2 linked regions of the Arabidopsis thaliana genome follow. The protein of the gene in region 1 binds, or shares a complex with, the protein of each later gene. Each region holds a gene or a part of one and is shown on either strand. Other genes may lie near its edges. A codon is read from its position in the direction of its gene.

Region 1 (4,725 bases):
TATAATCAGCTAGCTCAGTGAATGGTTCAACTCTAATTTTCCTTTTGTTAATCTGATCTATCAAGGAGAAGTCGATGATTGCTCTTACAAGTTACATCTCAAGATGAGATACTTGAGGCTTATTGGGCTCTTCTTCTTTGGATACTTCTAGGTTCAAGTTGAGGCTTTTAGTGGGCTTATTTTGATAAGTTTTTATCTATTATCGACCTGAATTAGCAAACTAGTCAGTTTTCAGAACATATTTAGAAAATTAGTCATTTTACTAGTCACAATTTATAAAAAAGTCACTTTTCACTGTTTGATTTGTACATTTAGATTTGTACAATACTTTTAGTATACATATGTATATAGATATACACAGCGTACACTTACATCTGTATACTAAAAGTGTTGTACAAATTTAAATGTACAAATCAAACAGTGAAAAGTGACTACTTTGCAAATTGTGAATAGTAAAATAACTAGTTTTCTAAATATGTTTGAAAAATTGACTATTTTTTCATTTATCCCATTTTAAAATGTATGAACAGTACAATATTATTAATATTATGCTCTATTTTAAATCAATGGAAAATTTTATATAAAAAATGCATAATGAGGAAGAGACACACAAATTCAATTGTTAGGAAAGAAAGACTTTCACTACATTAGTGCTCCTAAACTTTTGCTCTACGCAGTATAACCTCTAATTTACTGGTAACTTATATTTGAAGTGATTTACGTATGATACTACTTGAAGCACCAAACTGTACTTCTATAAACTCAGGTAACAGTAGCTACGTTATTATAATAATAATAAAAAATGTTATAATAAGGTTTTAAAGAAAGTAAATATCAACATTATATATGGGGACATACATTGATTCAGTTTTTGATAAATAGTGTAATTTGTATTTGAGTTAAAAAATTTGCCTTTATTTATATATTCCCCTCGAAGAAAAACTTTATTTACGTCCCAAAAAAGTATTTTTGGATTCGCCATGAATGTTTGATCATTCATATTTCAGAAAGTATTATAAATCATCGTATATCTGCATGAGAGTTTCATGCATAATACTCTTTAAAAGAAAATTGTTGGATAACGTAAAACAAAAGTGTTGGATGACGTCAAAAAAACTGTGAGGTGACGAAGAAGACAGATGGAAATTGTATTTTTGAACACACTAAAAAAATCGTAATATGTAAGCCAATTCATGTCATTATTGAATGTTGTTAAAATGAATCAAATAAGGCAAAACATAAAATATTGAAGAAAAAGATTTTATAAGAAAATGTAAAAACACTAGAGAAAGTAAGATGAGAGTTCCTTCTCCAACACTTAAAAACCCACTCACAACCAACACCAAACGGCTACATCACTTTCGGTGACCGCATGATCTTGCACTTGAAGTTAAAGAAATACTCAATTCCTAATCATTTTAACTCATTAATTTAATTAAACTAAAAATATCAAACCAATATATGAAAGGCAAAAGGTGAACAATATTTCAGCTTTTTGGTAAAATTTGTTTCGATTCTGCTAAATATCATTTTGCTTTGGACCTGGTTAGAAAAGTCAGATCAAATTTGGAAAGAAATACAAATTAGTGAGTACATGTAATAATAAAATTTAACTATTTTCAATACATGATTTTAATATTTGTATTTATTTAAGAAGATTATAATTCAATTGTTTCAGTGAGGAGTTGTTTGGTTTACTCGGTTTATTATATATGATGATATACAAAACCAGTTCTTTAATTTGGTATTTGTTTCAGTATGTTTGCTTCAAATTTCCTTCCCTTACGAATAAGCAACTAATAATGATCAATGAAAGTTGTAACAGAGACATCCTCCTTACCAATAAACAACTATAATCATCACAAAAGCTTCTTAAGAACCTTCCACCACTTCTCTTCTCTTCTGAACATAAAACCCAAACACATTCACAAAATTCATAAACATAAAAAAATAAAAGAAATTGAAGACAAAAGCAAAGAAAATGAGCACAGCAAGATTCATTAAGTGTGTGACTGTCGGAGATGGAGCAGTGGGAAAGACTTGTATGCTCATTTCATATACCAGCAATACGTTTCCTACGGTAACTTTTAATTTCTTAGCAAACTTGATATATATCCAGATATATTTTCAAATTGATGTTTTAAGATATTTATGTTAGGCTCCTGAGATCTTTGCTCATTTTAAACGTTGTTCATGGCAAATTAATAAGAGCCTAGTTTCATCTTTTGCGTTTATATTTCCATATCCGTTTAAGCATATTTTTCCTAGAATCATTAACGTGAAATATATCTAAAGCTGAATTCAAACCCATGCTTCTGGATTTTTGCTATCTGTTTACTTAAGAAACATGGTTTAATGTATGTTTTTTGATATATAAATGATTTAACTATCTAATTTACAGGATTATGTTCCAACAGTTTTCGACAACTTCAGCGCAAATGTGGTGGTCGACGGGAGTACCGTGAACCTTGGCCTGTGGGATACTGCCGGTACGCCGTATGATTACTTGATTATACTAAAACTGATTATTAATGAATGCTAGTTACGATAAAAGTTATTATTGTGGAATTACAGGTCAGGAAGATTATAATAGGCTTAGGCCTTTGAGTTACAGAGGAGCAGATGTCTTCTTATTAGCATTTTCCCTTATAAGCAAGGCCAGTTACGAGAATATTCACAAAAAGGTAACTTTAAAAGTTTTTCCATCCGTTTTTTTTTATAGATAAGAAACTATGATTATATGATAAAGTATTTCTAGAAAAATTTGTTGACACTGACTGATTAATTAATCTGGTGATTAATAGTGGCTTCCGGAGCTGAAACATTATGCTCCTGGCATCCCCATTGTGCTCGTCGGAACAAAATTAGGTAACGAAAACTTTCCCCTTATGAGTTCATAAAGAAACTTAATTTATCAACATTTGTGTCAAATTAGATATGGTCTTGAGTAATAATCCGCAGATCATACGTTTTTCATTTGCAAAAGAAAGAAAAAAATTCTACAAGAAGCTACTTTTTCGTCAAATAGTAATACACTCTCTTTCACTCTGAATAATATTGAGATATCACTAAATAATATGTTATTTAGAAAATAACACCTATAGTAAATGTATTTTGAAAAATTACCTAATTAATTCAGGCCAGTAAATTATATTATTTGTTCTGTTATGCTACAGTTTTAATGAAAAACATGTGAAAAAAGAATAACATTTTCAAATTCGATAGTTGTATAAAAACAGTTAGATTTTCATCTAATAGCAGAAAAATGTTCAAATGTAGGAAGATATAGCCACTTGGATCGTTAATGGCATCATGAATAGTGGCCCAATTTAACATTTATTCAACAACTTATATTGAAAAAGCTAATACATTTCTCCATTTGATTTATGGTATCTCTTGTGTTATTGATAATATCTTTTTATTCAAAACAATAATGTTACACAAAAATGAATATAGATTTGAGGGATGACAAGCAGTTCTTGAAGGATCATCCAGGAGCAGCTTCTATAACAACTGCTCAGGTACCATACACAAATCTTTAAAAAATAATCTATACAAAAATAAATTCATAAACAATTATGAATGGATTTGAGTAACAGGGAGAAGAATTAAGGAAAATGATTGGAGCTGTTAGGTACTTAGAGTGCAGCTCCAAAACCCAACAGGTACTTAGAGTAAATTCAACATGTATTTAGGTACTTAGAGTGCAGCTCCAAATGTTTTTTTGCCAAAATTTTCATACTAATAATTTGAATCCACAAATATATATATATATATATATATATATATATATAGTAAATTGAAATACTTAATGAAGTTAAATTAAATAAACTGAAAAAGTTTTTTGTTTGTGAATGTTTAATAGAATGTGAAGGCAGTGTTTGATACAGCGATAAGGGTAGCTTTGAGGCCACCAAAGGCAAAGAAAAAGATAAAACCATTGAAGACTAAGAGATCAAGAATATGCTTTTTCCTATAATATCTGAACAGATTTCAATAAATAACAAACATTTATATATACTTGTATTTTGATATTTTTTTGAATATTTTCTACTTGAAATAGTGGACTTTGCTTCATCACGTTATTGGCGAGAGTATTGTCGAATCATGTTACCATTATTCGGGAGAAATTTGTAAAATAGTAGTAATTTGGCAAGAAAATTGAGGATTGATATTTTTTCCCCATAAATTGTGGAATCACGCTTTTTGGTGACAATTTGCGAATTCTAGTTTTTAGCAAAAAAAATTAAAGAGTAATGTTTTTTGATGAAAAAATTATGGATACAAGTTTGAATCAATAATATGAGATTTTCGTCTTTGAAAAATAAAATTTCAAGTTTAAAATTTTGGCTAAAAAAATGTGGATTCAATTTATTGATAAGAAAATTGTATTAATCCTCACTTGAAACTCCTTACACTCTTTCTACATGAGTAAGACATAAACAAATGTGACGTTCATGCTCCAGTTCTTATATATGTCCAATGTATAACCTGAGCAAAATATACTTATGCACTTATAATACCTTAATTACCCGTCTTACTTTGAGGCTGGATCTTGTCCTTTAAGTAATCTATCTTCTGGGAAAAATAGAACTCAAGGGCTCTTACGTTCAATGTTAAAAAATGGTACCATTTCCTTGCAAAAACTCAGCTGTTTCAGAAAAGATTTCAAAAGCTAGCATACCTATACCATAACACACAAAGTTTTATACATTGGGGTAGTCC
Region 2 (4,737 bases), on another chromosome or scaffold:
TTCCGTTTTTTCCTGTGAAAAACGACGTGCAGTTTCATATAGATACTTTTAAACTACATACTGTTTCTTGTAGAAAACCGACTTTTATTTCCCTGGCCCAAAGGCCTGTCATGGGTCCATTGAACTAACACGCAATGTGGATCATAACTATTCACTAGCCTACGTGGCCTTTTTCGAATTAAATTATGTCTTAAAATCTTGTGTTATTTGATCTTTTTGTAAATCATGATTAAAGGAGATTTTACAATTTGGTATTATTAAATTAAGATTAATTTCTTAAAAAAAACAAAGGTTACTCAAAATTACATATCTTAGAAATATTTGTATACTAAGTCTTTTTAAATAAATTTCAAAAGAATTTCATGAACAAATTATTAGAAACAAAGTTTAAAGTATACTGCAAATATACTCCACACACATGAATTTTTAAAAGTAATATCAGATTTGAAATATTGAAGATTGTAAAACGTACGATTAACTTTATATCCAAGATTAAGTGGTCAATTTGTTTTACGTTTTTAGATATGTTTGATATATTTCAAATGCACCTTTGGAGTTTGGACCATACGCATATTGTTTGATAATTTGATACACATAGTTAAACGTATTAAATATCCTCTATTTTTGAAAGTCAAGAAAAACAAAGAGAACATTTAAAGATTATAACATGTACATTTGAGATAGTTATCTTCTTGTTAAGAGTTAAAAACTCCTTAAGCTAAAGACTTCTCTATCCGAGGAAGGAAGAGGGTGTGATTACTTCATTTACTACTTTGCTTTCATTCCTTTTTCCCTATCTACACTTTTATGTTCTCTATAAAAGTATCTCACAAGGATTTTCATGATTAATGCCTATCTTTGGGACTTCTAAAACCGTTTAAATTCTCTAACTTCTCCAAGTATGAGAGCTTTTTCGGCGTAAGGTTTGGAGATTTAGTAGGTTTATCGCCTCCTTTGGAACTATTATCATTCCAACCCATAAAATCCAACAAGGTCTTGGAGTGTGGGTCATGCTTCTCGGCTTCTTCTCCCGAGTTAGAAGATCCCGCTGACTCGGAATCCGTCTCTGTTGTTCTCCCACCATCTGATGTTTCTTCAGCCAATAAAGTTTGCTTTAGTGCCAATGTATCTGTGTAAAGAACATCTTCTATCCTTGACATCACTGTGTAAGCCAAGCTCTCAAGTATCCTAGAGTAACTTTCCAACACCGCTTGCCCAACGTCCTGTATCCATTGATAAAAGATCAGTTTTCTTATAACCAAAACAAAAATGAGTTGTTTCTTGCCATTCAAGGCATCTACAATATATGAGAGCTTATCATTATGATTGATTTACCTTGTTAAACTGAATCTTGGAGATGTCAAGGGAAGATTGAGGAAGACCGGGAAATTTTTGTTTGAGCAAGACCAAGATTGTTTCTGCTCTCTCTTCGAACAATTCTCTCTTCTCCAAGCTAACTGCTGAGCCCCACGAAGATTTGGTGTCCTTTGTGTGAAGCTTCCTCTTCCAAATCACAACAGATGCCTCAATTCTGTTCTTCAAATCCAACACTTTGTGCTCTGTCGACATGTCCAACATCGCTAAGAACTGCTCAGGATCAAACCATTCCTCTGTTATGCTCTTGTATATCGAATCCCCGAGGCTGGCTCTTCCGTTCTGTCAATAAAAATCAAATCTTAAGAGCCAAACATAGAATAACAAAAGATAGAAATTGAATAAAAACGTGACATTGATTTACCTTTGGGAGAGAGTCGATGTAGCTCTCAGGTATTTCCATTTCTGAGAGGACTTGAGCATTGATGGCCATTGCAGCTTTTTGAACTTGTGTGACTGAATCTTTTTGGAAGTAAAGCATTCTCCGAGATGGTTCTGATAAACCTCCAGGAGGAACTTTAACCGGTGGTAGCCACCACTTGTCGTTTGTCCGATCATTCCTTGCTTGCTGCCCTTCTTCTGAATCTCTTGAGACATACCAAAACTCGTTGTGTCCTCTGAAATTGTCCAATGTATCCTGAACATGTTATCATTACCATTAATCCACCAAACGCTAGATATAAGCCGGATTCAATACAGATTGAATGGAGAGACTTACGATGAGCATGGCGTCAAGTTTTCGAAGAGCTGGAATGTTCATAAGAAGATCACCTCTTTGTCTTGTCACCATAATCTACAAAAAAATGGTTAACATTGTAACTTATTCTAAAGAGGTCGCAAAAATGATATTTTCTTTTCTTTGGGAAACTCAAACCTCAGTGCAAACTCCATCTTTGCTTGTTTGTTGAGAAGGAACAAACTCGACAATGTGATCGGTCACGGATAATAACCAATCAATCTCTTTCTTCCATCTCGCTTGTCTATCTTGCGGCATCGGTTGTAGCTTTGTTTGTTCTCCGAATATAGACGCTGCAAATCATCATACCACCAACACAAGATTTAGAAACCAAAACCCTCATACTTACTTGCGAAAGAAGAAACTTAAAAAGTATAAAAAGAAGATTACCAGCAAGATTTGTGATGGCATTGGAAAGAGCCAGAGCAGAAGATACGCCTTTCCCACCACCGGACATATCTTCTCCAAGAAGCAATTTAGCGAACCTGTCTTTCATCATCTCCATATCTGCAATACTTTATGTGATTATTAGGTTTTTTTTGAAGGATATAAGTTATTGGAAAAGGAAAGAAGATACACACCTGCTTGTTGTCTCTCAGATCTTTTTCCTGGCCGAGTAAGAGGGGAAATCATTGGAAGGCTGCTCTCTACGGGGCTTTCTACGAAGCTGTCGGAGTTTTGGCTTTCAGGCGTGTTGGATTCGACAATATGAGAATCTCCGTTCTCCACGACAATAGTTTGAGATTGTTGTTGTTTCGTCGAAGATGAATCAAACATTCTTTTAAAGTTGAATGATTTGGAAGCGCTTAGTCCTCGTTCCAACGCTGCAACCATGGTACGACAACGTTCGCTTGTTTTCTTGCCCCGCAAGTTAAAGCCCTTTATTCCTTTAAAATCCAGTTGATCTAAAGATGATACAACTCTAAGATTTTTGTTAAAAGCATAAAAAGAACAAAAAAAAAACCTCTTTTATTTGGAAAATGAAACAAAATTCTTAAGAACAAACGTTTGTTTTCGATTTTAAGGACTAAATGCATTTCAAATATAAAAATAGTAAATCAAAATTTAGGAAGTTAGCTATTTCCATGATTGGTTATCTTCTCTTTTGTGTTAGAAATAAATTGATGGTTTGTGATAAAAGTGACGTTCCACGAAGTACGGAAAAGACAATAAAACTCCAAACTGATTCAACTTTCTTATGGGAGATCTACCATTCATCAAATAGAGTATTTAGCTATCCTTATGTCTTGCATTTTTCTTGTTCTGCTTTTGAGTGTTTAGAATTTACTTAAGTTTTGGTTTATTTGGCTTTGAAATCAACCACTGTGCAATTGATTCATTGGTTACATTTCCATGTTTATGTACTATGGAATGTCTTCTTCACCACTAGAGCTACATAATTCACCAGAGAAAGACATAAAACTTGTCAGATATCAAAGTTTATATGACAAGTTTAGTTTTCAAATCACCAAAATATGTTTTTGATCTTGTCAAGTAATAAAGAAGCCATTGACCAGGCTTGTTCAAAACAATATAACATGAATAATAAACAAACAAGGCAATGTAAGAAATTACTAGTAATCTCCTCCTTTTCTTTTGCCTCCTGCTGTAGGATTCCTGCATGTACTAGACCTTAAGTATTGGATCTGCACCGAACTTGGAACATAAGAGAACATTTCTCCGAAATCCGTTACTTTGAAGAACATATTCTCTCTTACCACGAAAGATATCTCGAAGAGATGATTGACACCATATGTACCACAACAAATGCTGCTTTTTCTCTTTATCAATGAAGAAACTGCAAACTTCAAACACAGATAGAAAGTACGTAACAACCAAACACAAGTGGAATTTCAACTTTAAAGAATTTGCTCCACGACACTGCATTTGGCTCAATCTTAGTTGTAATCCATGTCTCCATCACACATCTATCCAAACACCTGCCCAAAAACACCTCAAGCTACTCTTCTCTAACACAATATGAAATCACATAACTATTGGAATCAAACGGCAGATGCAGACGTGATCCAAATCTCTATGTTGTAAAATAAAAAAAATAAAAAAAATCGTCGCCTTTACGATCAACAAAGTAAGTATTTCTCTTCAAAGAAACGCCTCTTTTTAAACGTTATATAAGAATTATAAGTAATGTCAAGAACCCTCCACGAACTAGACTTGAAGAATTAGACTTAAAATCATAGATTTCATGCCTTATATTTTGTGGTTGTTCTTGTTGTCGTATCCTATAGCATACCAATCTGATTCATGATAATTATTTTTGGGTTTGATCCATCTGGTTTGCACTAGCTTACCAACATATGGGTTCCATACCACCAGCCTCGAGGAATCCTTGGTGACTAATAACAATAAGCCGTGACAATGATAGACTAGCTTAGATATTTGAACTCGACAGACCATTTCACCTATCTCCTTTATAGATGAAAAGTCTTTGATGCTATGGAGACTGAATCTAGTTTGTGAAATATCAGTCAAAAAAGAATATTCACAAGTCATGGTTACCAGAAACTCCTTGGTAGATTTACCACAATGCTTCTTTGTAAAGCTCTCATCTTTAAATAGTGTGTTACATCGTTTGCAAGCGCATCCAATAGCTCTTCCAGAAATTC

What was found. Proteins that work in one complex are often made in the same cells at the same time.
Region 2: the proteins of RAC2 (region 1) and ROPGEF8 are in contact, whole or in part, in a crystal structure (PDB 2WBL), measured with the Arabidopsis thaliana proteins. Residues at the interface, in NP_199409.1 of Arabidopsis thaliana: Phe6 (codon at 1,997), Asp14 (codon at 2,021), Gly15 (codon at 2,024), Ala16 (codon at 2,027), Val17 (codon at 2,030), Pro37 (codon at 2,411), Thr38 (codon at 2,414), Val39 (codon at 2,417), Phe40 (codon at 2,420), Asp41 (codon at 2,423), Asn42 (codon at 2,426), Phe43 (codon at 2,429), Ser44 (codon at 2,432), Ala45 (codon at 2,435), Asn46 (codon at 2,438), Asn55 (codon at 2,465), Trp59 (codon at 2,477), Asp60 (codon at 2,480), Ala62 (codon at 2,486), Gly63 (codon at 2,489), Glu65 (codon at 2,580), Asp66 (codon at 2,583), Tyr67 (codon at 2,586), Asn68 (codon at 2,589), Arg69 (codon at 2,592), Leu70 (codon at 2,595), Arg71 (codon at 2,598), Pro72 (codon at 2,601), Leu73 (codon at 2,604), Arg76 (codon at 2,613); in NP_189105.1 of Arabidopsis thaliana: Lys95 (codon at 2,588), Glu100 (codon at 2,573), Asp101 (codon at 2,570), Met102 (codon at 2,567), Ser103 (codon at 2,564), Lys107 (codon at 2,552), Leu113 (codon at 2,534), Asn117 (codon at 2,522), Ala118 (codon at 2,519), Thr120 (codon at 2,513), Asn121 (codon at 2,510), Leu122 (codon at 2,507), Ala124 (codon at 2,501), Ser125 (codon at 2,401), Glu129 (codon at 2,389), Arg143 (codon at 2,347), Arg217 (codon at 1,963), Asp218 (codon at 1,960), Ser219 (codon at 1,957), Glu220 (codon at 1,954), Lys233 (codon at 1,915), Trp234 (codon at 1,912), Trp235 (codon at 1,909), Gln265 (codon at 1,819), Met269 (codon at 1,807), His325 (codon at 1,557), Leu328 (codon at 1,548), Asp329 (codon at 1,545), Gly383 (codon at 1,383), Leu384 (codon at 1,380).

The regions. Positions count from the first base shown.
Region 1 is NC_003076.8:18,641,780-18,646,504, forward strand, and holds RAC2 (RAC-like 2), read left to right. Parts: upstream 1-1,760; 5' UTR 1,761-1,981; coding exon 1,982-2,080; intron 2,081-2,401; coding exon 2,402-2,489; intron 2,490-2,574; coding exon 2,575-2,684; intron 2,685-2,804; coding exon 2,805-2,868; intron 2,869-3,456; coding exon 3,457-3,521; intron 3,522-3,599; coding exon 3,600-3,665; intron 3,666-3,865; coding exon 3,866-3,979; 3' UTR 3,980-4,197; downstream 4,198-4,725. UniProt on the Arabidopsis thaliana protein: Inactive GDP-bound Rho GTPases reside in the cytosol, are found in a complex with Rho GDP-dissociation inhibitors (Rho GDIs), and are released from the GDI protein in order to translocate to membranes upon activation.
Region 2 is NC_003074.8:8,979,850-8,984,586, forward strand, and holds ROPGEF8 (RHO guanyl-nucleotide exchange factor 8), read right to left. Parts: upstream 3,055-4,737; 5' UTR 2,945-3,054; coding exon 2,692-2,944; intron 2,618-2,691; coding exon 2,501-2,617; intron 2,404-2,500; coding exon 2,249-2,403; intron 2,168-2,248; coding exon 2,093-2,167; intron 2,012-2,092; coding exon 1,739-2,011; intron 1,657-1,738; coding exon 1,336-1,656; intron 1,224-1,335; coding exon 846-1,223; 3' UTR 551-845; downstream 1-550. UniProt on the Arabidopsis thaliana protein: Guanine-nucleotide exchange factor (GEF) that acts as an activator of Rop (Rho of plants) GTPases by promoting the exchange of GDP for GTP. Active as homodimer.